3 linked regions of the Notamacropus eugenii genome follow. The protein of the gene in region 3 interacts with the protein of the main gene of each other region in a pairwise test. Links are inferred from orthologs where the notes say so. Each region holds a gene or a part of one and is shown on either strand. Other genes may lie near its edges.

What was found. The genes of interacting proteins can lie anywhere in the genome.
Region 1: the proteins of LNX1 (region 3) and PRR13 interact in binary tests that used the Homo sapiens proteins (3 or more experiments, as listed by UniProt). The two-hybrid records come from large-scale screens. The link is inferred for Notamacropus eugenii from reciprocal best matches to the Homo sapiens genes LNX1 and PRR13.
Region 2: the proteins of LNX1 (region 3) and MTMR9 interact in binary tests that used the Homo sapiens proteins (3 or more experiments, as listed by UniProt). The link is inferred for Notamacropus eugenii from reciprocal best matches to the Homo sapiens genes LNX1 and MTMR9.

Annotation. Positions count from the first base shown.
Region 1 is NC_092874.1:226,459,091-226,466,317, forward strand, and holds the start of PRR13 (proline-rich protein 13), read left to right. Parts: upstream 1-3,930; 5' UTR 3,931-4,042; intron 4,043-4,450; 5' UTR 4,451-4,468; coding exon 4,469-4,487; intron 4,488-4,859; coding exon 4,860-5,245; intron 5,246-6,936; coding exon 6,937-6,981; 3' UTR 6,982-7,227. UniProt on the Homo sapiens protein: Negatively regulates TSP1 expression at the level of transcription. This down-regulation was shown to reduce taxane-induced apoptosis.
Region 2 is NC_092872.1:610,944,751-610,952,344, forward strand, and holds the start of MTMR9 (myotubularin-related protein 9), read left to right. Parts: upstream 1-4,297; 5' UTR 4,298-4,442; coding exon 4,443-4,624; intron 4,625-4,775; exon of another isoform or gene 4,776-5,139; intron 5,140-7,594. UniProt on the Homo sapiens protein: Acts as an adapter for myotubularin-related phosphatases. Increases lipid phosphatase MTMR6 catalytic activity, specifically towards phosphatidylinositol 3,5-bisphosphate and MTMR6 binding affinity for phosphorylated phosphatidylinositols.
Region 3 is NC_092877.1:105,074,590-105,082,325, forward strand, and holds the start of LNX1 (E3 ubiquitin-protein ligase LNX), read right to left. Parts: upstream 3,273-7,736; 5' UTR 3,143-3,272; intron 3,141-3,142; exon of another isoform or gene 3,057-3,140; intron 1-3,056.

The DNA.
Region 1 (7,227 bases), on a different chromosome or scaffold from region 3:
CTGGTTTGGGTCCTCCCTCAAAATGGAAAGCCTGTTCTTTGTAGTTTTCCAATATTCACTTTCCCTTGTTTTGTGACTGTTATTCTTTCAATTTCCATTGTTGTAGTCATCACATATTATTTTCATGGTCTTTCTTATTTCACTTTGCATCGGTTCATAGGTCTACCCATGTTTTTTGGTATTTATTACATTCGATGTTTTTTATAGCATGGTAGAATTCTGTTACATTCATGTATAACAATTTGTATAGTTATTTCCCAATCTACTTTGTTTCCAGTTTTTTGCTACCACAAAAAGTGCTGCTATTGATATTTTGGGGGGTAAAGGATAGGCAGATATTCCCTTAAATCCCCTGATTTAATCCTCCCATACTCTTCACCTCCATCACACACCAGAATACTCATACTTGATTTAATCATCAGTCATAAATGTTCCATGACTCATAGTAAGTACTCAATAATTAATTAATATTTAATGATTAACACTATTATTAATTCTAACTATAGTTAATAATTAATTGGCATTGATTAGTGACATAATAATTGCTTGCATAACTGAATTTACTTGAGAGATGATGGACACAAGGTATGCGTTTTTGGACATGGACACTGAACAAAATTCTTTTGCTTGACTATGCTTACTTGTTACAAGGCTTCTCCTTTTTTCTCTTGGTTAATTAGGGGGCATAGGGAAAACAGGAGTTAGCAATAGTAATGTCCCCCCAAAATGAGGCCATCATATCATTTTTTAATGCAAAGAAGATAGTTCAGAAGAAAGCATACGCAAGTGAGACAATTTTGAAAATAACATGGAATTTATTACCATATATATTGTTTAAAAAACAAACCATATGAAATGGTGATTCAGCTTCATACAGAATCTGTGTGTGTGTGTGTGTGTGTGTGTGTGTGTGTGTGTGTGCGTGCGTTTATGAAAGTGCTATGTGGTGTAATGTGTATAAAAATGTTTCGGGGGGGAAAGTTTACATTAAAAATTTGAAAATAAAGTTTTTAAAAGAATTAGATTAAGTTGAATTATACCTTCTCTAAGCATAACTCTGAAATTCTTCTATGTCATTATAACTTCTTATCTGGCCATCTCTCCTTGTGCCTTATCTTTCCTGAACCCAGTCTCCATCTTCAAGACAAATTTCAGATACTCCAACCCTTCTGCTTTCCAACCTCCCTTATTCCCACCCTGTATTTCCCAGGCCATTATTTCTACTTTCGTCTTACTTTCCTCCCTTCTGAACTGAGCTGCTGAACTGAGTGGAAGTCCTATCATCCTATTGAATGGATCTACTACAAATTTAGGCCATCTAATCTCGAGTGGGCCTCCCCAGGGCACACCAATCTGTTTTCTCTTTCCTAATTGACTCTTCATCAAACTCCCCACAGTATTTCTTTCAGCCTTCATCTTTTTTCAAGCCACCTACTCCACTGCCTTCTCACTCTTTAACTACATACCTCACTTCACACTTCTACTGAAAAAACTAGGCCATGAGTCATAAAAATCCCTTTCCTTTGATTGCAATTGTGAATCACCTGGACTTCATACCCTATTGTCCCTTCCCTCCTGTCTCAGAGGAAATAGAGGCCTTAAGTCAATCCCTACTCATTTCTGCCAGTAGATTTCCCCTTCCATTATCTCTCCCATCTCCCAAAGGTTCTATTTGTCTTTACTATTGGTTTCCTTCCCTGCTGCTTATATGTAAGCCCAGATCACACTAATCCTTAAAAAAATTTAAATTAAATTTAAAAAACCACATCCTCAAGCTAACATCCTCTATCATTCCTCCTATTCACAGCCAAACTCCTAGAAACAAGCTGTCTACACTTTCTGTCTCAACTTTCTCATCTCCCAATTACTTAGAAACACTCTGTAATCTGGCTTTGAAACATACTACTCAATTAAAATTATGCTCTCCAAAGTCACCAGTGATCTCCTTATCTGAGGTTTTTGTCTCTTCTCATCCTTCTTGACTTCTCTGTCACCAAATGACATTATTTACTCCTCCTGGATTCATTTTTCTACTTGGATTCTTTTTTTTTTTTTGACAAAGGTAACTTATTTTTCTCTTACCTCTTTGGCTGCTCCTTCTCAGTATCCTTTGTAGAATCACCCTTTATGCCCCACTCTCTATGTATGGGAATACCCAAAGGCTCTCTCCTGGGCCTCCTTCTCTACCTTCTTTTTCTTTTTAATTTCATTGTCTCCCATGGGCTTGACCTACGCTTTTCTGAGAATGATGCCCAAATTTACATATCCAGTACTCATCCCTCTCTCCTGATCTCTAGTCTCCTTATCTGTAAAATTCAGAGAAGGCAGCTAGGTAACACAGTGGATAAGAATACCTTATACTGTATCTGTAGCTAAGAAGATTCGAGTTCAAATTTTACCATAGATCCTGGCTGTGTGACCCTGGAGAAGAACTTTTCTCATCTGTAAAATGGGGGTAGAAATAGCATCTCAATCTCCTAGAGTTATTGTGAGTCTCAAATAAGGGCTTTATAAACCTTAAAACATCATCATCCCATAGAGGGTTGTATATTATTACATTAGAGGCCACCTTAGATGGCTTCGAAGGTCTCTTCCAGTTCTAATCTATGACTTTATTTGAGCAAGACAGAACCGCTGCTGGGCCCAAAAGACTAGGACACTTGACCCTGGCCCTTTGTGGAAGGTGGGGCTCACCTGCTCTATGTACAGGCTCCAGTGGAGGAGTCCCACTTCTAATGAGAAAGGCTGGGACCTCCTTTCTCATACCCTTCAGCTCATTACACTGGGGGGCTCCAGGGACCACTTACGTACAACATAGGTTCGGTTCATATCTAGGGTCTCCACAAAAGGGAGGGTAAACAAAACCATCCGGCGTGCACTCTACAAGTGTTTATTTCCCACACACAGAAGGCTGCTAAACCCAGCATCCATGTGCGCCCAGTGACAGGCCTGGGAAAGGTCAGTAGGAACCCCGCTGCTCCCCGGGAGCTTACCGGGGAACACGCCTCTAAGGGAAGGAGTTTGGTGAGGAGTCGTTTTACCTTTTGCGTTGCTACAAGGAGAACTTACCATATATTTACAAGAAAAGGCAAGCGGTGCATACTGGAGACCCCCAGTGCCAGGCAGGATTTCTGCGGTGACACCTGCCCAGGACCATGGGCACGCCACCCTCTCCTTTTCGGAGGGGATGTCTCGGGACGTGTTATCGGGAAGGTCCATTTTATTTGGTGTTGGATGAGTCCATGGTTTTAAACAAGGAAAAACTGTCATTCCTGGGGGAAGGGCCAAAAGAGGGTCTTCGGCTCGCAGGGGGTCCAGGGGGTCCTTGGGTGCTGCGGGGTCCGCGTGCCAGCTCCCTTTTCCCCTCCAGCGCGGTCACTTCTCTCCTGTGGGCCAGGCAGGCCAGGCCTGGAATGCCTTCTTCCTCCCGGACCTCGGCCCGGCTTCCCCGGCCTCCTTGCCGGGGGCTCGGGGTCCCCGGTTGGGCCCGCTGACTTCGTGCATGTGCGCGGCTCTTTGCACTCTGCCAACCCCCTCGGACTGGGGCAAAGTATACCAGCCCCGCCCCAAGCGCTTGACACAAGGCCTGGCATACAACAAGCACTCAACTAGTGCCTTCATCGGGCGGGAGTCCCGAGGTTCCCGGCCCAGGCGGGGCCTCGGCTCTCAAGGTCTCGCATCCCAGACCAGCGCCCCCCGCCCCACGCCCTTGGCACCCGCTGCCCGGGCTCGGGGGCAGGGCGGCGCGCATGGGCAGGACTAGGGCCGGGTGGGGCCCTGGCCCCGCCCCCAGGAAGAGAGACCCCACCCGAGGCCCCGGAGCTCGGGCGGACACGGCCCGGTCCAGAGACAGTTTCCCCGGGTCCGGCACGCCCCCCGGAGATCGACGGGCAGTCTGTGCAATGACGAGGGGAGGGCTCGGCCCCGCGGCCAATCAGACAGCGGAGGGGGCGGAGCCACCGGGGAGGTGGGGACCAGGAAGCAGGCGCCGGGAGGTGCGGGGAGGAGAAGGGAGAACTCCGGCTCGGGTGGAGGCGACGAGGTGACGGGGTCTTCGGGGTTCCTCCTTCCCTTCCTTTCCCCGGGCGGGGGGCACGTCCGCCGGGCCTCCCTCCCAGCGGGGCAGGGCGGGCTGGGAGAGTCTCTCTCGGCGCTTGGAGATCCTTCTCCCTCCTTCCCCTCCCCGCCGAGGCTCTTGGCCGGGAGGCAGACCCCCCTCCCTCCTGGGGCCCCTCCTCTCCCCGCCCAAGGAAAGGGGAACCCCCCGCCTAGCTCCGGGGAGGGGAGAAGGGAGCCCGTCTGCCCCTAAGTGAGCGGAGAAGGGTGCCCCTGGAGTTGGGGGGGCAGGGGATCCGCCCCGGACCGCTGAAGTGGAGGAGGCTTGTGCCACCCGCCCTGCCCCCTCCGGACTGCCAGCCTTTTTTCTTCCTTGTTCCTTGTTCCCCTCCAGGTAACAGAACAGTGCAGCATGTGGAACCCCAGTGCGGGTGAGTGCTCCCTTTACACACCCCCCGCTCTTTCTATCCTTCTTTTAGAGGAGCCTCACGGGGGTGGGGAGGGGTGGTCTTCCTGTGCCCATTTTTTCCCTCCCATAGTTGCCAGTTAAGGCAAAAACTTGACCTCTCTTTTTCCTTTTGCCCCCAACACCCAAGCCTTCCCTCTTTGGAGCTCATTTCATTTTCTCTTCCTTCCCACCGGAGCTGGCTGTCCTTTTCTCTCTATATGCCCCCCTTTTTCCTAACCTCCCCACTGCCTGAAGGAAGAGGGGGCACAGGAGGTACCAGTCCCTTCTCCTCCACTTGTAAGAGGAGCTAGACCTTGCTGCCACTATCTTATTCTGTGCTTCTCTCCCCATCCAGGGCAGCCAGGGATGTACCCTCCTGGGGGTCCTATACCTCCTTCAACTTCCGGGTGCCCTGGGGTTGCCAACCCCATCAACCCACCATCAATCAATCCTGCATACCCTCCAGGTACCTGTCCTGCCCCACCTGGGTGTTTCCCAGGTAATCCAGCCTATCCTCCTGGCACTGCTTTTGGCCCTGGGCATCAGCCAGGATACCCAAGCTGCCCACCCCCAGGTCCCTACCCACCTCCAGGTCCCTACCCACCTCCTGGCCCTTGTGCGCCTTCTGTGAATCCCTTGGTCCCAGGGATAGTGGGGCCAGGTATAGTGGTGGATAAGAAGATGAGGAAGAAGATGAAGAAGGCTCATAAGAAAACGCATAAACATCACAAACATGGCAAGGTCAGTTTCTCTGGGAGCCCTGCTGGGGTTGGGATGGGGAGCATTTCATCAGAGTCTCAGGGACACAATTAGATGGCCACGCCAGTCTGGATTTGCCTTCTCTGTTGCTATCCATCCATGCTGTGGGTGTAGACTAGCTACACACACACACAGAGCATGCTGGCCTTACAAGCCAGAAATAGAAACTGGGTTAAATTCTGCCTCATAATACTTCCCTAACTCTCAGTCCCTTCATCCCTTTAAACCTCCATTTCTTGAGGAAAATAAAGTGGTTGGTATAGATATTCACTGAAATCCCTTCTTTTCAGCTCTAAACTTAAGTTTATGGATCTTTGGCAGATATCTCAGAATTTCTGGGGTTTAATTGCTTCCAGTTGAACAGGATTAGTGATCCATACCCTCCCAGAATGCTGAGGCATAGCTATAGATATATACATACATATGAAAGGACTTGGGAATCTTGGATGGGGTTATGACCACCAAGCCAGTGGGTTAATTAATTTTGTCCTTTGACTCTGTAACTGAACACCTGGAGCTAGGCTCCTATCTCCTCTTGTGTAATCTAAAGAAAGCTAACTAGAATTGGAGCTTAGAGAAACCAGAATTTGAATCTTGGCCTTGGTCCCTTACTGGCTGTGTGGCTGTGGGCAAGTTCTTTAACTTCTCTGAGCCTTTGTTTCCTCATCTGTAAAATGGGGTTAAAAATAGCTACTCCACTTCCCCCATGGTGTTGTGAAACTCAAATGAGATAAAGAATGGGAAGTACTTTATGTACCTTAAAACCTTATTGACACATCATGATAACGATAATGGGCCTTGGAAATTGAGACTTCAAAGAATTGAATGACTATTCTGACATCAGGGAGCCAGGCCAGAGTAGTCTGGGAATCCAGGATTTCTGATCTCTAACCTTGGGGGCACTGATCATTCAAGTACAGTGTTCCTTAGAATGGAACTGAGCAGGTCATATGACTATACAAAGAGCCTAAGTCAACCTGGGACAAGGAAAGAGAAAGGGTAGAAGGTGATGGTTATGGGGCATGTCTAAATTCACTTCATTCCAGTGATAGCTGGGATGCTGCAAAAAAGGGAGAGGTAGAAACTATTGGAGGACAACTCAGGAGCAGCAGTTGGAAAATAAATGTTTACCATTGCTGATAAAGTTGCTGTGCATGCAGGCAAACCAGATTAGATAGTAATTCACAATTTTATAGTACCATAAAGCTTGCAAAGCACTTAATGAGTCTTATTTTTATCCCTCAGTACTTTTGCCTAGGTCTAAGTTACTTAAGAGTAGGGGTCATTTTCATTTATGTGGATTGTCTGTACTGAAGGTGCTGGGGGCTATTCATTGCTTCAGTTATTAACATTTATTTGCCAATTCCTATGCCTTCCTCAAAGAGGTTTTCCCATTCATGAAACCCTTTGACTGAGACACCTTGTTTCAAGCAAAATTATTGAAAAGTCCCTGCAACAACGTGGGTTGGTTTAAACTACTGTTGTGGCATTAATTCCAGGGGGAGAAACTTATTTTCAGTCTGTCGGTGACATTCCATGTGTGGGTTATTGGTCTTAAGTGCACCTTGTATGGGAGGGTACATATTAGAGAGATGGGGAATGGGGTGGGACTTCATGGGGTCAGAGTTCAAAGTCTGATAATGTGTCCTCTCCACTTTCCCATTCCCCTGCAGCATTCTTCTTCCTCCTCCTCCTCTTCCAGCAGTGACTCTGACTGAATCCTGGCCCTCTTCCCCCCAAGTCACACCACCCCAGCTTCTCCCATCAAGCCTTGGACGCCATATTGTGCTGGGGGAAGATAGCCTTGCAGCCCCAACCTCAGTCCAACCTCATTCACCCCTTTGCCCAAATTGGCTGGTGAAATTGAGGAAAGGATCACTATTGGCCTGAGGAAATCCATTTTCTTAACTTCTAGATTTAATCATTGTGGGGCATTCCTTTCTGAAGATGTATGCCCTTTGAGC
Region 2 (7,594 bases), on a different chromosome or scaffold from region 3:
ATTCAATTCTCCTTTGTATGCTATTGTCATCATCATAATCATCATCCCTCACTTTGGACAAGCTTTCAGTTTAAAAAAAATCACAAAATTAAAAAGCACTACAGAAAGTTTCTCTGATCTGAATATTATAATGATGATGCTAGCCTATTACATTTGTGTGACATTTTATTGTTACAAAGCACATTGCAGATGTCATCTGATTTAATCCTCAATACCATTAGGTAAGTAAGATATATTGTGACTCCTTTATAGATGAGGCAACTGGAGCTCAGAGAGAGATCAAGTGATTTGCCAAATGTCATATTGCTAAGGCAGGTTTTCTTACTCCTTTCAAGTTGAATGTTCTTTCTATGATGCTTCCTTCTCACAATAGAGCATCTATCTACCTATTGTACTTACTCCTCTATTTTCCCTTCTTAGAGTCTCTTCTCCCAAACACTCCTTGTTTTGAAAACAACTAAAAAAAAAATCTGTTGTTCCATCCCTCCCATTGTTTTCTTCTTCTCTGAAACAGCAAGCTAGGGTACTGATTATTTGAGGCCTCTAAGAATCAATTTCATAGCTAGAGATAAAATGCTCTATAGAAACAAAACCTAAAAGGTAATTTTAAAATTAATTATTTAACCTACCTGTTTATTTTTACAGAATGAATGTGCCTTGTCCTAGATAAAGCACTAGCTTGGGTTAGAGAACAGGAGAACAAGCAAGAGTTTAGCATTGTTTGGCATGCAGCAAACTATGGCAATTATACCTATGTAGCCAGTAGGAGGTCCTTTGGGCACATTTTACAGTCCTTCAGGGAAATCCTGGAGCAGTACTCTGGGGCTACCTGGAACACAAAATTTTAAGTCAACAATAAACCAAGTATTTATTAAGAACTTTCCATGAGTCAGCCACTGTAATAAATGATGACACGAAAATAGTTCCTCCCCTGGAGACGTTTACATTCCAAAGGAGGAGACATTATATAAACAACTATGTACATTCAGGATATGTATATAAGGTAAATTGGAGGTGAAGACGCTAGCAGTGAGGGAGAACAGCACAGAAAAAGTGTCTTGTACAAGGTCAGAGATGAGCTGAGATTTGAGGGAAGCCATGGGAGGCAAAAGGAAGAGATAGGAAGGGAGAGCCTTAATTCCAAACAAAACAAAGCAAAGCACTTTGTTCTTTGGGTTCAGGTACTTAAGAGTACACATATATGTATAAAACCCATAATTATAGAATATACGATTTCTTCTGATAAGTAACACAGGCAGACCTTAACACAGGGTACAATGTTTAATAAGCAATGATGCCCTATAACCTATAATCACTGGTTCAGCTATTCAACAAAATGATAAAATCCATTAGCCAACCTCAGTCTTGCTGAGTCTCTCCCTGACACCTCTGAGAGTAATGCAATCACTCTGAAGTTTGAATCCTTTGAAGATCGGATATCTTGCCTCTCCAGGTAACAGGCTCCTGAAAGTATCCTTAGAAAAGAGCTTTTCCAACCCCCTTCAACTTTACCATTGAGGAAAATGAAACTCAGAGAGATTAACTAATTCACCCAAGGTCCCCCAGAATCAGAGCTAGAACTCCATCCTAGCTCTCCAGATTCTAAGTTCAAAATGCTCCCATGAATCATGATAACAAAGTCACTTCCACATGAGGCCCATTTTAGGTGAGACCAAACAGATATGTTCTTCTCCAGAGAGAAACCAGCAAAAATGTTTCTACTTGTTTAAATTTGGCCAGAAGGGAAAAAGCAGTAAAAAGGCAAAAAAATGTATATGTGTTTGTGATAGGGATTATCAACCAGATTTGAGGCTGCCAGGAACTAGCAGATGGCTGCCTGAACTGAGGAAGACTGCCTAGCTCCCATATATCTTTTCTAGCAAAAACCTGAAATTTGCACCAAACTGAAAAAATGATTATAAAATCTAATGAGAAACTACAATAAGTGACTTATTCTCTCAAAACTATACAAATAGCCATCCAGAAACTCATAGGTAATAGGAAAGGGGAACATTAGCAAAACCAGTACCAGCAGAGGCAAACAAGCCGGTGGCCTTCCAGTGTTGCCAGTGAAAGTACTGTGTGCAAAGCCAGCAAAAAAAGAGGAAACCCTCCCAAGAAAGCTTTGAGTTGTCAGAAAGCCCATGGAGGGTCAGAAAAGAGCAGGAACCTTGAAAGTCATCAGGCGTGGCAGTGATGGGTATGATACTGATACTCAGACCTCCATGGACCCCTAGCATTGTATTCTGCTTTTCCAAATTGGGTCCAAAAGATCCAGAATCCAAAAGATCTCTGAAATCTAAAGATGGGGGGGGGGGGGGGGGAGGAGGCTCTAAGCCCAGGTGGTAGAGGACAGCACAGGATCCAGGGAACATAAGGGAACAACAAACAGAGCCTACAACCTCACCCAAAAGCAGAAGGGAAGAGAGGATGACTCTTGCACAAAGCTCTAATTCAAGTACAGAAGTTGGACAGATGAATGAACCAAAAAGGACACAGATCAAAGAAGAGAGAGATAGAATATAAAAAATTACTATAGATCCAGAGATGCTCTCCTATCAAACTTGTAAAGAGAAAGTCACAACACAAAGTATGCAAATAAAGACTCAAAGAGAAAAATGAATTTTCCAAAATGATAATGCAAATATCTAAAAGAAAGAAAGACATACAAGTAAAATAAAAAGGTCTGAAGGAAAGAATTGAAAAGAAAATAAATAACTTAAAAAAGAAAATGGTAAACCTTCTCCAAAAAATGGACTCCCTGAAAACTAGGATTGACCAATGGACCAAACAGAAATCAATGACTCCACAAAACAGCAAAAAATATTAGAACAAAATCAAAAAGTTGGGGGGAAAAAGAAGAAAATGTAAAGTATCTGATATTTTTCAAGTGATTTGAAAAACAACCGACTTGGGAAATAGGTCAAGAAAAAGAATTTAAGAATTATTTGACTCTTTGAAAATCATTTCTTTTTAAAAGCTAGATCCTGTATTTAAAGAAATGAAAACCACTCAGAGCTCTTGGAAGCAGGGGGCAAAATAAAGTTAGAAAGAATCCTTAAAGTTATCCTAAAAAAAAAAAAGTTCCAGAACTTTGGCAATGTTGTTGCCAAAAAAAATAGTTGCAAGCATCCAGAAAGAAATACTTGTACCAAGGAAAGGTAAGCAGAATTGTACAAGACCTGGCAACAAGAAGGAATAGTGGGATACAGCATTCTAAAAGACAAAAGAGATGGGGTCACAACAGAGAATAATTTACCCAGCAAAGCTGAACATACTCCTGGAGGAGAGTGGGGAGGGATGGGGCTTCATTGGACTCGATTTTCAACCATTTTTGATGAAAAAACCAGAAGTAGAAATTGTGAAATACAAACAAAAGAATCCAGAGTAACCTAGAAAGGCAATTTAATTTGAGCAACTGGAAGAGGACGTGCGGAATTCATGACACTTTTTCAAATCAAGAATAAAAAAAAAGCACGCGAATGACATTGACAAGGCTCACGTGCAACCTCTTTAATACGAAGGGCAGGGGTGGGGGAGGGGTGGGAAGAAGCATGTATTAAACGCCTACTGTTTTCATTTTTTTTTTTTTTTTATCCAACCCTGCGGGGTGGTTACTCTTAGGATTCTCATTTTACGGTTGGGAAAATGAGAGTGAAGCTCTTTGCCCAGGGTCTCCCTGCTAGCTTTGGAACTCAGGTCTCGCCGAACCCAGGTCCGGCGCACTTAATGCCAGCTCCTGATGCCCCCTACAGGAAGTTATTCTCTTTTTCACTGTACCGCATCAGTCCTCTCTGGGCTTCAGTTTCTAGGGTTGGAGCAGACGACATTTAAGCCCTCCAATCCGCAGGCGCATGTTTCAATCACGCGCGATACGACCGTTGGCGTCACCGCCCGAGCTTCGCACCGTGGGCGGCCTCAAGTGGGCGGCCCCGTTATTCCGGGGCTGCTGAGGCTCAGGGGAGTCAGGGTGGCAGGGACAAGACTTCCCACTTACTTCCTCCCATCGGGCATGAGATGGGTAGGAATTTAACTCTGAGGGCACCGTTTCCGGTCACGAGACTCACAAACCTGGTTTCACAACTTCCGCCCGGAGTCGACGGAGGGCTCTGAGCGTCAACTACTTCCTCCCGGAGTCGACCGAGGGTGCTGGGCGTCAGCTACTTCCGCCCGGAGTGGACAGCGGCCAGGAGATGTGCGGGCCTTGAGATCCCGGCTCCTTCCCAGCCCCCCGGAAGAGGACCCTCCCCTCCCCCGGGTCCCCTCAGACGGGGTTGCCGGGGGAAGCAAGCTGGTGGCCGCTTGAGACCCCGGCTTGAGCTTGGTGCGGGAGGTGGGACCCTCCGGACCAGGCCCGCGGGGCCGGCCGCCGGGGGCTTGAGAAAGCAGGGGAGAGAGGACGGAGCAGGCCCCGCCGCGCCTGCCCCGGGCCCCGGGCCGAGATGGAGTTCGCGGAGCTGATCAAGACTCCGCGGGTGGACAACGTGGTGCTGCACCGGCCCTTCTACCCGGCCGTGGAAGGCACGCTGTGCCTGACGGGCCATCACCTGATCCTGTCCTCCCGGCAGGATAACACCGAGGAGCTGTGGCTGCTCCACTCCAACATCGACTCCATCGAGAAGCGGTGAGCCCAGCTCGGAACGACGGCCCCTGCGGGCCTCGCTTGCCTCGTCCGTTACCAGGGTCAGGGGCGGGGCAGGCTGGTCCGGGCGGCCCTTTGTGAGCCCCCCACACTCCTGCCCGGGTCTATTGTCCCTCTCTTTGTATTCCCTGGTTTAACCCGGGGCTGAGCCCTGAGTCGGCGTTTAGTAAGAGTTCCTTAATGTGTTTTAATCTCCAGCCTGGAACAGACGGAGAATGCTTAAGAAACGAGGGAGTAGTTTTCCCCCTGTCTCCAAAGCAGCTTCTGCCTTCCTGAAGACCCTCCTGAGGATCTGGATTGTAGGAAAGGGGGGAAGCAGGAGTAGTGGCCCAAGAGGGGAGCCTCGTCCTAGGCCACCTGCTGTCCCAGCCATCCGTTACTCCGAGGCATAGCTTCAAGTGGTTCTTTGTTAACTTGAATCGTTTGGGATCATACACCAGGTGTCTTTACCTGTTGTAAAATTGAGATAATAATGCTTCCTCGCATACATGTCTACGGTAAGGTAGGATCTGTACACTGCTTTTGACAGCTGAGTGAGACTGGAGCTTTGGCTCTTTCGGTTCTAAGACCTGTCTGAGCCATCCTCTGTCTCTTGTGTTGGGTTATCTTGCTCATCCTACCACTTGACTAGCCTTTTATGCCCCCAAGGCGTAATGTTTATATTTTTAGTTTTATAGCTTTAAATTTCCACCTGGATAGCTAGTTGATATTAACTATGCCTACCACTTCCCTTTTTTGTCCTGGATCCTCTTTTCTTTTATCTTGGTCAGCTTATCAACTCCAGGAGGTTCAATTATCCTTTCTAGCTTGACCAGTCTCCAGTATACAACTAGCTCTAACTCCTTCATTGGACTTCAGTCTCACATCAGCAACTCCCTACTGGACATTTGGGACTGGATAATCCATAGACATCTCAAACTCAGCCAAAACATTATCATTATTTTTCCTCCTTCCCATCCTCCAGTCTTTAATGAACTTTCTCATTTCTCTCAATGACACCACCACTCTTCCGGTCATCCCAGTTTAAAATCTGAGACATCCTTGACCCCTCACTGTGCCTTCCTCCATTTATCCAGTTAGGTGCCAATTCTTATTTCCATCTCCACAACCTTTCACATCTGTTCCCTTCTCTCTGTTACTAGTTCAGGCCCTATATCTTCTGGATTCTTGGTAGCCTCCTGATCAGTTTCTCCTTTCTTCAGTCTTTCCCCTCTTCAAACTCAATAGAAATTGATTGATCTAGAAAACCATAAGTGAACATTGTTTATGTTGTATTTTTATTTCCCAATTTTTCCAATTCCCAATCCCAACATTTCCCAATTACATTTTAATCTGGTTCACTCATTTGATACCTCTGCTCTACACAGCCACTGAAATACTATTCCTAAAGCACTTTGTCACTTCCCTTTCCTAAACTCCAGAGGCTCTTTTTTCTCTGTAGGATCAGTAAAGTCCTTTGGCTTTTAACTTTGTATCCTGGCTGCCTTTTCTAGACCTGTGGTATCTAACTACTCTGCACATACCATCTACAGTTATTCCGAATTGCTTTCTTGTTCTTTACACAGGGCAATCCATTTCCCATCTTCTAGCCTTTGCTCACTTTGTTTGTCACTCTATCATTAGGTGAGATAATATGGTCTTTATAGTCAACTACTTCAGCTTTCACTGAAAGAAATAGGTCTTCCCTAATAGGTTCTGCCCTGGGCAGAATTGTGAAATAGAGACAATTTAGGTCCAAGTCACCTCTCACTTTTGCAGTCTTCAGCCTAGCTGTCTTTAAAATTGTCCCCTCTTGGACTCAGAAATTAGACTTGTAGAATGTTGGAGGTGAGAAGGACCCCAACTCCTTCATTTTGCAGATGAGGAAACTGAAGCTCAGAGAAAGGAAGCAGTGTGCACAACTAATACTGACTAGCTGTCTGGGAGGAAATTTAAATGTTTGACAGCAGCCTGATGTGTCCCACATACAGGGAACACTTAGGTTTTAAACCAGGATTCTTAGAAAGGCGGTGCCTTAGACAAATATCTAATGGGGAAATTTCTGGTGGGAGAACTTAGGAAGGCCTCTTTTCCTTCAGATTAGTAAAGTGGTTACTCAGTAGACCTTGTTTCCCAATATAAATGGTTGTAACTTTTGTCCCTGGCCTTTTTGGTTCTTCACCTCAAATATTTATCACTTGCCCCAAAATTGAGTGCCTGTGTGTCTGTGTGTTAGGGCTAGGCACTGTGGTGTTTGCAAAGAAGAGATATAAAGACTTTCTACTTTTTCTGCACCCACACAAGCTCTTCAGCTTATATTTCAGTAGAGGAGACAATGTACACAACTCACACAGCCTTATTTCAATCCTCCCTTTCTCTTTACTGTCATGGCTATTCTTATTACTTTGCCTCTCTGAATGCCTTTAGTTTTTCTTCGACCAGCCTTCCATTCAGAAAGAAATAAAAAAGAATCATAAGCCCCAAACCATCACAATGGAAACATTTTCCCCCATGTCCCTTGTTATTTTTTACATTTGATAAGAGGTCTAACTTTATGTCTGTCAGATTCTTTTATCATGGTTGTATTTGAATTCCATTAATTTGCCTAAGTGACATTGTCGTTTCCCTTTTTTTGTTTTGCTCTAGATCTGTGATTTCATCTGTGTGGAAACACCTTCCACTGATGAAGATCTTCCAAAAGTAGACTTTGAACTCCATTCAAAGCTCTAGAGAAGAGTATTGAGATCCTAATATGGAAGGTTCTAAAAAATAGTCAAGAATCTGCATCTCTTTAAAACCATTTTTTCTGCACTTACTTGATGGCAGTACCTGAAAGGTTTCTTAGTTGTTAATAGTCAGAAGGGACTGATAATAATAGCTAACGCTGACATAGTACTTACTATGTGCTAGACACTGTGCTAAGATCTTTACAAATATTCATTTGAGAATCACAACAATTCTGGGGAGTAGATG
Region 3 (7,736 bases):
ACAGCAGTGACATACTCAAGTGATACCATGTTACTTCACACAATTAGCCAGTGCTGGCAAACGGCCTCCATCTTTTTGACCCTGACACCCACTGCCTGAAGCTGAGACAGAATGAGCTTGAATATTGTGGAAGAAGACACCTTAGTTTGACTTGCAGCACAAAGGGTGCTGGATTTGGGGTCAGGGTTCCTTAAACTTCTCTGGTTTGCACTTTCCTCTTGTATAAAATAAGGGAGCTGGACTAGATAACCTCAAAGATTTCTTCCAGCTTTAGATCTATGACCAAGAAAGAGCATGGCTGATCCCATTTGCCTTCCCTGCCCCACCAAACTGAAAGTGGTCTCTGATCCTCACATTTCCTTAGAATAATACTTTATCTGAATTTCTTCTGTCAGATATACTCAATCTTGTTTGCTTTTTGCATGTTATTTTTTCCACCCTCAGTAGAATGGAAGTTCCCAGTGAGGCAGGGAAAGGGCCATTTTTCAGTTTTGTAGATATATCAACCCCTTGATAGGAGATCTTCCTGGGATTAATATTCACAGCCAGGTAGGCACTTAAGAAACCTTTGTTGAACTGTACTGAAAAACTCTGTCACCATCACATTACTCCAGACAACAATGGAGCATTTGCCCAGTGGTTTGTGGGATGCCCTGCATTTGCTGCTCTCTAGGGTGGGTGGAAGGAGAGGGGGGAAGGGGGGTAGCAGGTGGGACAGAGCAGACAGGGCACAGCAGTTCCTTCCTTCTGCTGGAGACTTGGTGGCAATCAGCTCAACCTCCTTTATGGAGGAAATTCAAAAGCCTTGCTTCTGCTTCACTCCTTTCTTTTGTTAGGTTTTATGGGAATTATCAATGATGAATTTAATAATTCACAATTTATAATAACAATTACTATCATGATTATTAAAATCTGTGTTCCCAATAGTCCTTTAGATGAAGTTCCTCAGGTAGCCCAGGGAAACTTTAAATAAAATTGGACTCCTTAAATGGCCATCTCTTAGCAAAGCCTCAATCTACTAAAAAAAAAAGTACAGATTACCCCAGTGAGCCACTGAACCATGACCTTGGCTCCATTCTAGAATAGAATGTTTTACCCTGAATCCCAATCACTGAGCACTGACTTTATTCCCCCACCCCCACTTCCATCTTTCCTCTCCCTCTCTCTCTGAATCTTTGTGACCTTCAGCAGGTTACTTCAAATCTCTGGGCCTTAGTTTCTTCATCTGTAAAATAAGGGCATCAGACTAGATAGCATGAAAGGTTTCACTCTAAATCTATGATTCTATCCTTTGTCCCCCTTTTTCCTTCTCTCTCCCTACTCACAATTCCTTTTCTCCCCCATTATACGTTTGCTTATAGACTTGCCCTCTTTAATATACATACATACCTACAAGCACAGAGAAAGAGACAGACAGAAAGAGACAAACAGAGAGGGAGACGGAGAGAAGGAGAGGAGAGAAGGAGAGATGAAGAAATAAAATTATTTGACTAAGGCTCAAATATTAGTGCTTAAAAAAGAAGTGAACTATTGAGCAAGGTACTACTGAACCACAGTTAACTGGAGGAAGATAATCCCACTTAAGAGAGGTTTTATCATTTTTCACATGCGTTACATCTTGGGTAGATATTGTGTTGGATCCCAGTTCTAATAAGGCAAAGGCAGTAGCCACCGGCCAAGCACATGAGCTCAGAAAAAAAGGACAGAAAGGTCAGAGAGGAGAACAATAGTGGTCTCCAAGGAGTAAGAGGAATTGGCAGCCACAGCAGGACTAGTTTGGCTCAGTGAGAGGTTACTCTGTCCGAAACAAACTTCCCCAGATTGTTTCCATTTCTACTTTTGGAGAATGAATGTGCACTTTGACTTTTGGGGTGGATGACTATCAGCATAATTGCTAACAGATCACTTCCTTACAAACTTTTTTTTTTTTTTTTTGCTAACTTGTCTCAGCAAAACAGCTGATGTAGGAGTTTGGAACGTTGCACCTCACAGTGCTGCTTCTCTGCCTGGATTTCCCACAGCCAGGCCCTGGCTCCCCAGTATTGTGTGTGGCTTGCACGCCACAGATTCTTCTCCCCCTCACCCCCCATCTAAATGCCTCCAGTGTAAGTTGGCACACTGAGGGTGAGGCTGCAGGGTGTACTAGCTGTGAGATCTTTATTAAGGAAACAAAAAAAAAATGGGTCCCAGAGCTAAAGTTACATTTAGGAGGGGAAAAAAAGTAAGGAAGGTCCTGGCAGAACAACCTACTAAACAGTTTATTTGCTGTTAAAAGCAAGGGGGGTGGGTAGCACAGAGGGAGAAAAAACCTTTGTACCCCATTTGTGAAGCTCAGAAAGGATAATCCATTTTACCTGAGCTAAAAGTTTAGTAAACACATGGCTAAGTATAAAATATTCTAATCCAGATCCCAGTCTCCCTGTGACAACAGATTGTACAATTGAGGACAAAGATCAAATATTTGCCTTCTTCAAAAAAAGTTTAGGGATCAGGAATATTGCGATGTGGGTGGGCTGGAGGGGACATAAGGAAAAACTGAACTTACAATCTTAGGAAGTATTGAGTGGGCAAACAAGAGGTGCTTTGAAAATACTTTTAAGGAAAAAAACAATTTTTTACAATTTCAGGTAGAAATGAACTGCGATAAAAGCAAAAAGTTAAATGCAGAGGGAGTTGACCAGATTCTAAGAGTGCCCTGCAGTCCCCACCTCACAACTGAAATTAGCATTATAAAAGTCTCCCCTCCCCCACCCTGAAATTAGCATAATGAAAACTTACCCTCTCCCCATTGAAATTAACACTACAGATTAAAGAAAGCTACAATTCCAAATCCAATTACAAATACCTGTCAACTCCTCTCACCTAGGCAGTTCCGTTTTATGGGGGGAAGGGAAGGAAAAAAAAATCAATATCCCAGAAAGGAAGAGGCTGAATTAATTGTTTCAAAAGGCAGCATTAGTTAGCCATGTGGCTTTAACCAGAAGATCCATTAGGCATCCAACTTCTCTCCCAGAAGGAGCTCCCCTCTCCTGAGAAAAAACTAAAGTTGTACTCACTCGGCCAATTTCTTTCCTGTTTCCTGTTCGGAACAATGTGACCAGTGGTCTAACTATCCAGAGAGAAAATGGGCGTTTCAACTCACCTTTCCAGGTGTTAGGGTTTTTGAAGCTGGCCACAGTCTGGCAGAGCACACGCATCCCTAGCACGTAAGTCAATCAAACTCCGTCGGGTCCGTCCTGACACCGCATTTGCCTTCCTTCTGCAGGTGTCTGCGGGGAGGAAGAATGAATGGTATTGGTTGGCCTGGAGCAGGAAATGTGTGACATCACACAGAACCCTGAAAAGATAATCTTCGTGGCTTCGACCTTAGTGAGGGAACCAGTCAGTAAATTCCTCCGTACCTGTCATTTACCTGAATACCTGCAGCCAGGTGCGAATTATTCAGTTAGAGTCATTTGCAGTCAGGTATTTACTTTCTTTTTTAAGTCACAACCCAACCTGCCTGCTCCTGGGTTGTTTTCATCACGACACAGCTCCCTAACTCTGTTAACAGCTCTGTTGACTGCTGAAGAGTTAAACGAGAAATTTAAACACCCAAACGTGATAGGAACTTACTTGATTTAACCCAAGCACACGTGAAGATCGGTTGCGTAGAAACTGAAGTAGTGTAGAGAGCTAGCTGAAGAGGCAGTCAAAAGACCCGAGTTCAAATCCAAAATCTGCTCCCTGCCAAGTGACCTTGGTGCCAGTCACTTAACCTCTGGGACTAAGTTCCTCTTTTGTAAAATATGGGGAAGGGAGGGACTGAATGATCTTCCTGCTCTACTTCTAGGACCCCATGAAATTCAATAGCTTTTTTGAATGGATATCATTTGCTCTTTTCCAGAAATCTATCTCTAATAGAATAATAAAAACTTTAAAAAACCCCAAAAACCTTTGTGTTTACTTGTATAAGTTTTATAACCAACTTATCTGTGCACATATTGTTTTCTTTACTAGAGTATAAGTTCCTCTGGGGCAGGGGTTGTTTGATTTTTTATTTAAATATCATACATACTGTGCCCAGCACATTGTAGACATGAAAGTGTTGTTAAATGAATTAATTTTGTTGGACCTCATTCATACTTCACTCAGAATGTTAGGGCTGAAAAGAACTTTAAGAAATCCTGTAGTCCTCCCTCCTTGTTTTCAGGGAAGGAAACTGAGGCTCTGAGGATTAGAGTTGACAGCTGGCAGAACTTGAATTCAAACCCACGTCTTCTGACTCAAAATCCAATTTTTTGTTTTGTTTTGGAGGGAGGGTGACCCTGCACCACACTCTTAACCAGGAGGATGGGCTGCTATTTTCAAATGAGATGTTCCAACTTTGAAAATGCATTTTTTGTGTTCCAATGACAGACTTAGACGTTTGTAACAGTAGTCATGCCCATTACAGCTTGCTCAGCTGGCACGGGGCAGTTACAATTCTTTGTAGGCCTGCAATTACAAGTAATTTAAATGATTCAGATTAGAATGCTATTAATAAGGCTACTTTGCCTGCTAGTTAGAGACAGGAAGGAGGAGTCAGAAGTTATTTCTATTCCTAGCTTATTGTATGACCCTGGGCTGTATGCCATTCAGCCTTTTTTCCACCAGGAAAAATAAGGGTAATGCCACTTACCTCATGACAAAATGGGCTATTACGAGAATATTAAAGAGCAAATGTGAGGGAGTGTGGTAAACAAGGATTTATTCATTCATTCATAATTGAATTTTAATATTTTATATTTTTGTGGCCTCTTTCCAGGATCCTTGAACAATTTAGACTATGCACTGGAATGTACCACCTGGGGAAACTGTGGAATCTCCTGCCCTGGAGGCCTTGAAAAATAGGGCAGCCTATTTTTCTTTCAAGAATGGCCTAGATAATTTTAGGGGGTTCCTTGCAACACAGTGGTTCTAAAAATTGCTTTTGCCCTCTTGGGGATAAAGGTGCTAGAATTCTCAAGTATTTCTTCTTTCTCCCTTCCCTCGTACTTCCCCTTATGCAAATGCTCATTTTAAAAGGCGTCATTTTTTTTTGGACTGGATGTATGATTTCATCAGTATTGGGAACTTCCCAGCAGAAAAATTGCCTTTTCCCATGCATATGGGCACCTTCTCTGTAACTATCCAACAGCTGCCTAGAGCAACGAGAGAGCCCTCCCTGCCACTGAGACCATCTCTTTACCCACTACAGCTGCCTTTCAAAAGGTGAGACTTTGGGTGTCGATATGATAACCAATTCAATAGAACAAATAGAGTAAGTACCTGACATAATGGAAAAGGCATCCATCGAACTTGGCATCTAAAAGCCTGTTTTTGAGACTCTGGTTCTAACATTTATTAGTTTTGTGACTTACTAGGGAGTCACTTAAACTGAGTCTCTATTTCTTTACCTGTAAAACTGGAATGCAGATACATATACCACCTGCCTCACAGAGTTGTGAAGAAAGCTTTCTGGAAAATGTAAAGTGCTATTCAAATGTGAGTTGCTATTAGTAGACATTACCTAATCTTATTTTTATGCCAATTCTGAGTTAAATGGGGCAGGTGTTTCCTTCTCATCTCAGACCCTCATAGTGCCCTTAGACAGTAGGAAGGCATTATGACTGTGCTAGAGTGCCAAAGTACCCTGGATCTGTAAGCTTGAATAAGTCTCTGCCTCTCTGAACCTTAATTTATTATTACTATATTATTATTAACAGTAATAATAAATAATAATAACTACCATTTATATAACATTGAAGGTGCCTCACTTCATCCTTGCAACAACTCTAGGAGATAAGTGCTATTATCTCCATGTAACAGATGAAGAAATGGAGGTAGAGGTGAAATGACTTGCCCAGGGTCACTCAGCTAGAAAATGTCTGAAGTAGGATTTGAACTTAGCTCTTCCTGGCTCCAGAGCCAACACTTTATACACCGTACTACCAGCTGCCCCATCTCTAATGTGAGGAAAATGGAAGACAGCTAGGCAAGTACAGTGGATAGAGCACCAGACCTGGAGTGAGGAAGACTCATCTTCCTGAGTTCAAATCCAGCCCCATATACTTACTAGCTGTGTGACCCTGGGCAAGTCACTTAATCCTGGTTGCCTCAGTTTCCTCATCTGTAAAATGATCTGGAAAAGGAAATGGCAAACCACTGCAGCATCTTTGCCAAGAAAAACCCCAAATGGGGTCATGAAGAGTTAGACACGATTGATCACTGACAGAATAACAAGGAAGGACTGGAAACAGTACTACTGGATTTTGAGTAAGAAAACCTAGGTTTGAATTCTTGCTCTGTCACTCATTACCTTTGTGACCTTGAGCAGGTCACTTGATCACTAAGAGCTCTAGGTTTCCCTATAATTAAGCCCTTTCTTTAAAACTTGAAGACAAACTAGGCACTAGGGATAAAAAAAATTAAGTTTCTGCCTTACATTCTATTGGATAAAACATGTATAAATAGGAATAGATATATGTACATAGATATTTCTACGTATTAAGTATACAAGATAATTTCCAGAGGTGTAGGGAGCATTTAGCAGCTGGGGGAATGCAAAAAGATGGATCTGTAAAATGAACAGAAAACTTCTTAAGGTCTTTTCTTGCTTCAAAAGTCTTTGATCTCATAGGCAAGGCAGTCTTTGATCCCATAGGCAAGGCACGGTGCTTCATATCAGAGAGAGAGAGATATCTATGAGGACTATTAAAAGCCCTTCTTGACTGTACCTTAAACTTTGCCACCTTAAAACTGAAATCCAATCTGGCTTGGGATCATCCAGATCATGCTGGAGCATACTGAATGACTATTGGGGGAGGGATAGTTCTGGTCCAGGACACTGGGGCAAATCTAAACTTTAAATGCCTGCGGGATATTTAACTTTCACTTACTTGTTTGTTTGTTTGTTTGTTGATTAGTACCCATGATTTTATCAGTAAGGAACTTTCCCTGGGGTGGACAAAATTCCAAGCCCAGACTGACCTAGCCTGCAAACTCTTTCAGGAAAGTTAGACGCTTAAGAAGATTCCCAAATGAAGATTGGGCCATTTTGCCGCCAACCAAAATTTATTTCCCCTTTCTTCATTTCTGCCTTTTGGAAACTGCTATGGATATTGGGGTGGGGGGTGGGGGAGAGAAGAGACTTGCAAAAAAGAAAACGAAAACAGAAATCCCTCTAAAAGAAAGGAGAAAGTACTAGGTTGTAAATGTGGCTCAAAAGTTGAGTACCTTCTTTTGCAATAATAAGGCTGAATACAAATGCTCATTACAAAAACAAAGGCACTTCTTTTGCTACTGGAAGGGTGTTCCCTTTGAGAGGGGAGAAGAACTTGTCTGCCAGCTTGTGTTAAACACTAGTATCTCTGACTCAGACTCTGCCCTCATAGAACTGACAATATAATGAGTGAATCAGACTGTACCCATGTAGGAAGTTGATCAAGGGAGTCTACTTGATATGGACACCTGAGAAAAGACCTATCATACATACATTTCCCCATGAAGAGTGTGGACATGCTCATTAGAACTTCAGTGAGAGCATATCAGAAACTGACAAATGCTACAAATCAGGACTTGATTTTATTGTTTTGTTGGTTGTTTAGAATAATAAAGGGATGGAGAAAATGTGAATAAATCAAATTAAACTTAAAAGCATGTCATGTATACATTTTTTTTTCTCAGAGTACTGTTTACTAAACCTTTAGCAGTACATTACTGGAGGCAGCCCCTTT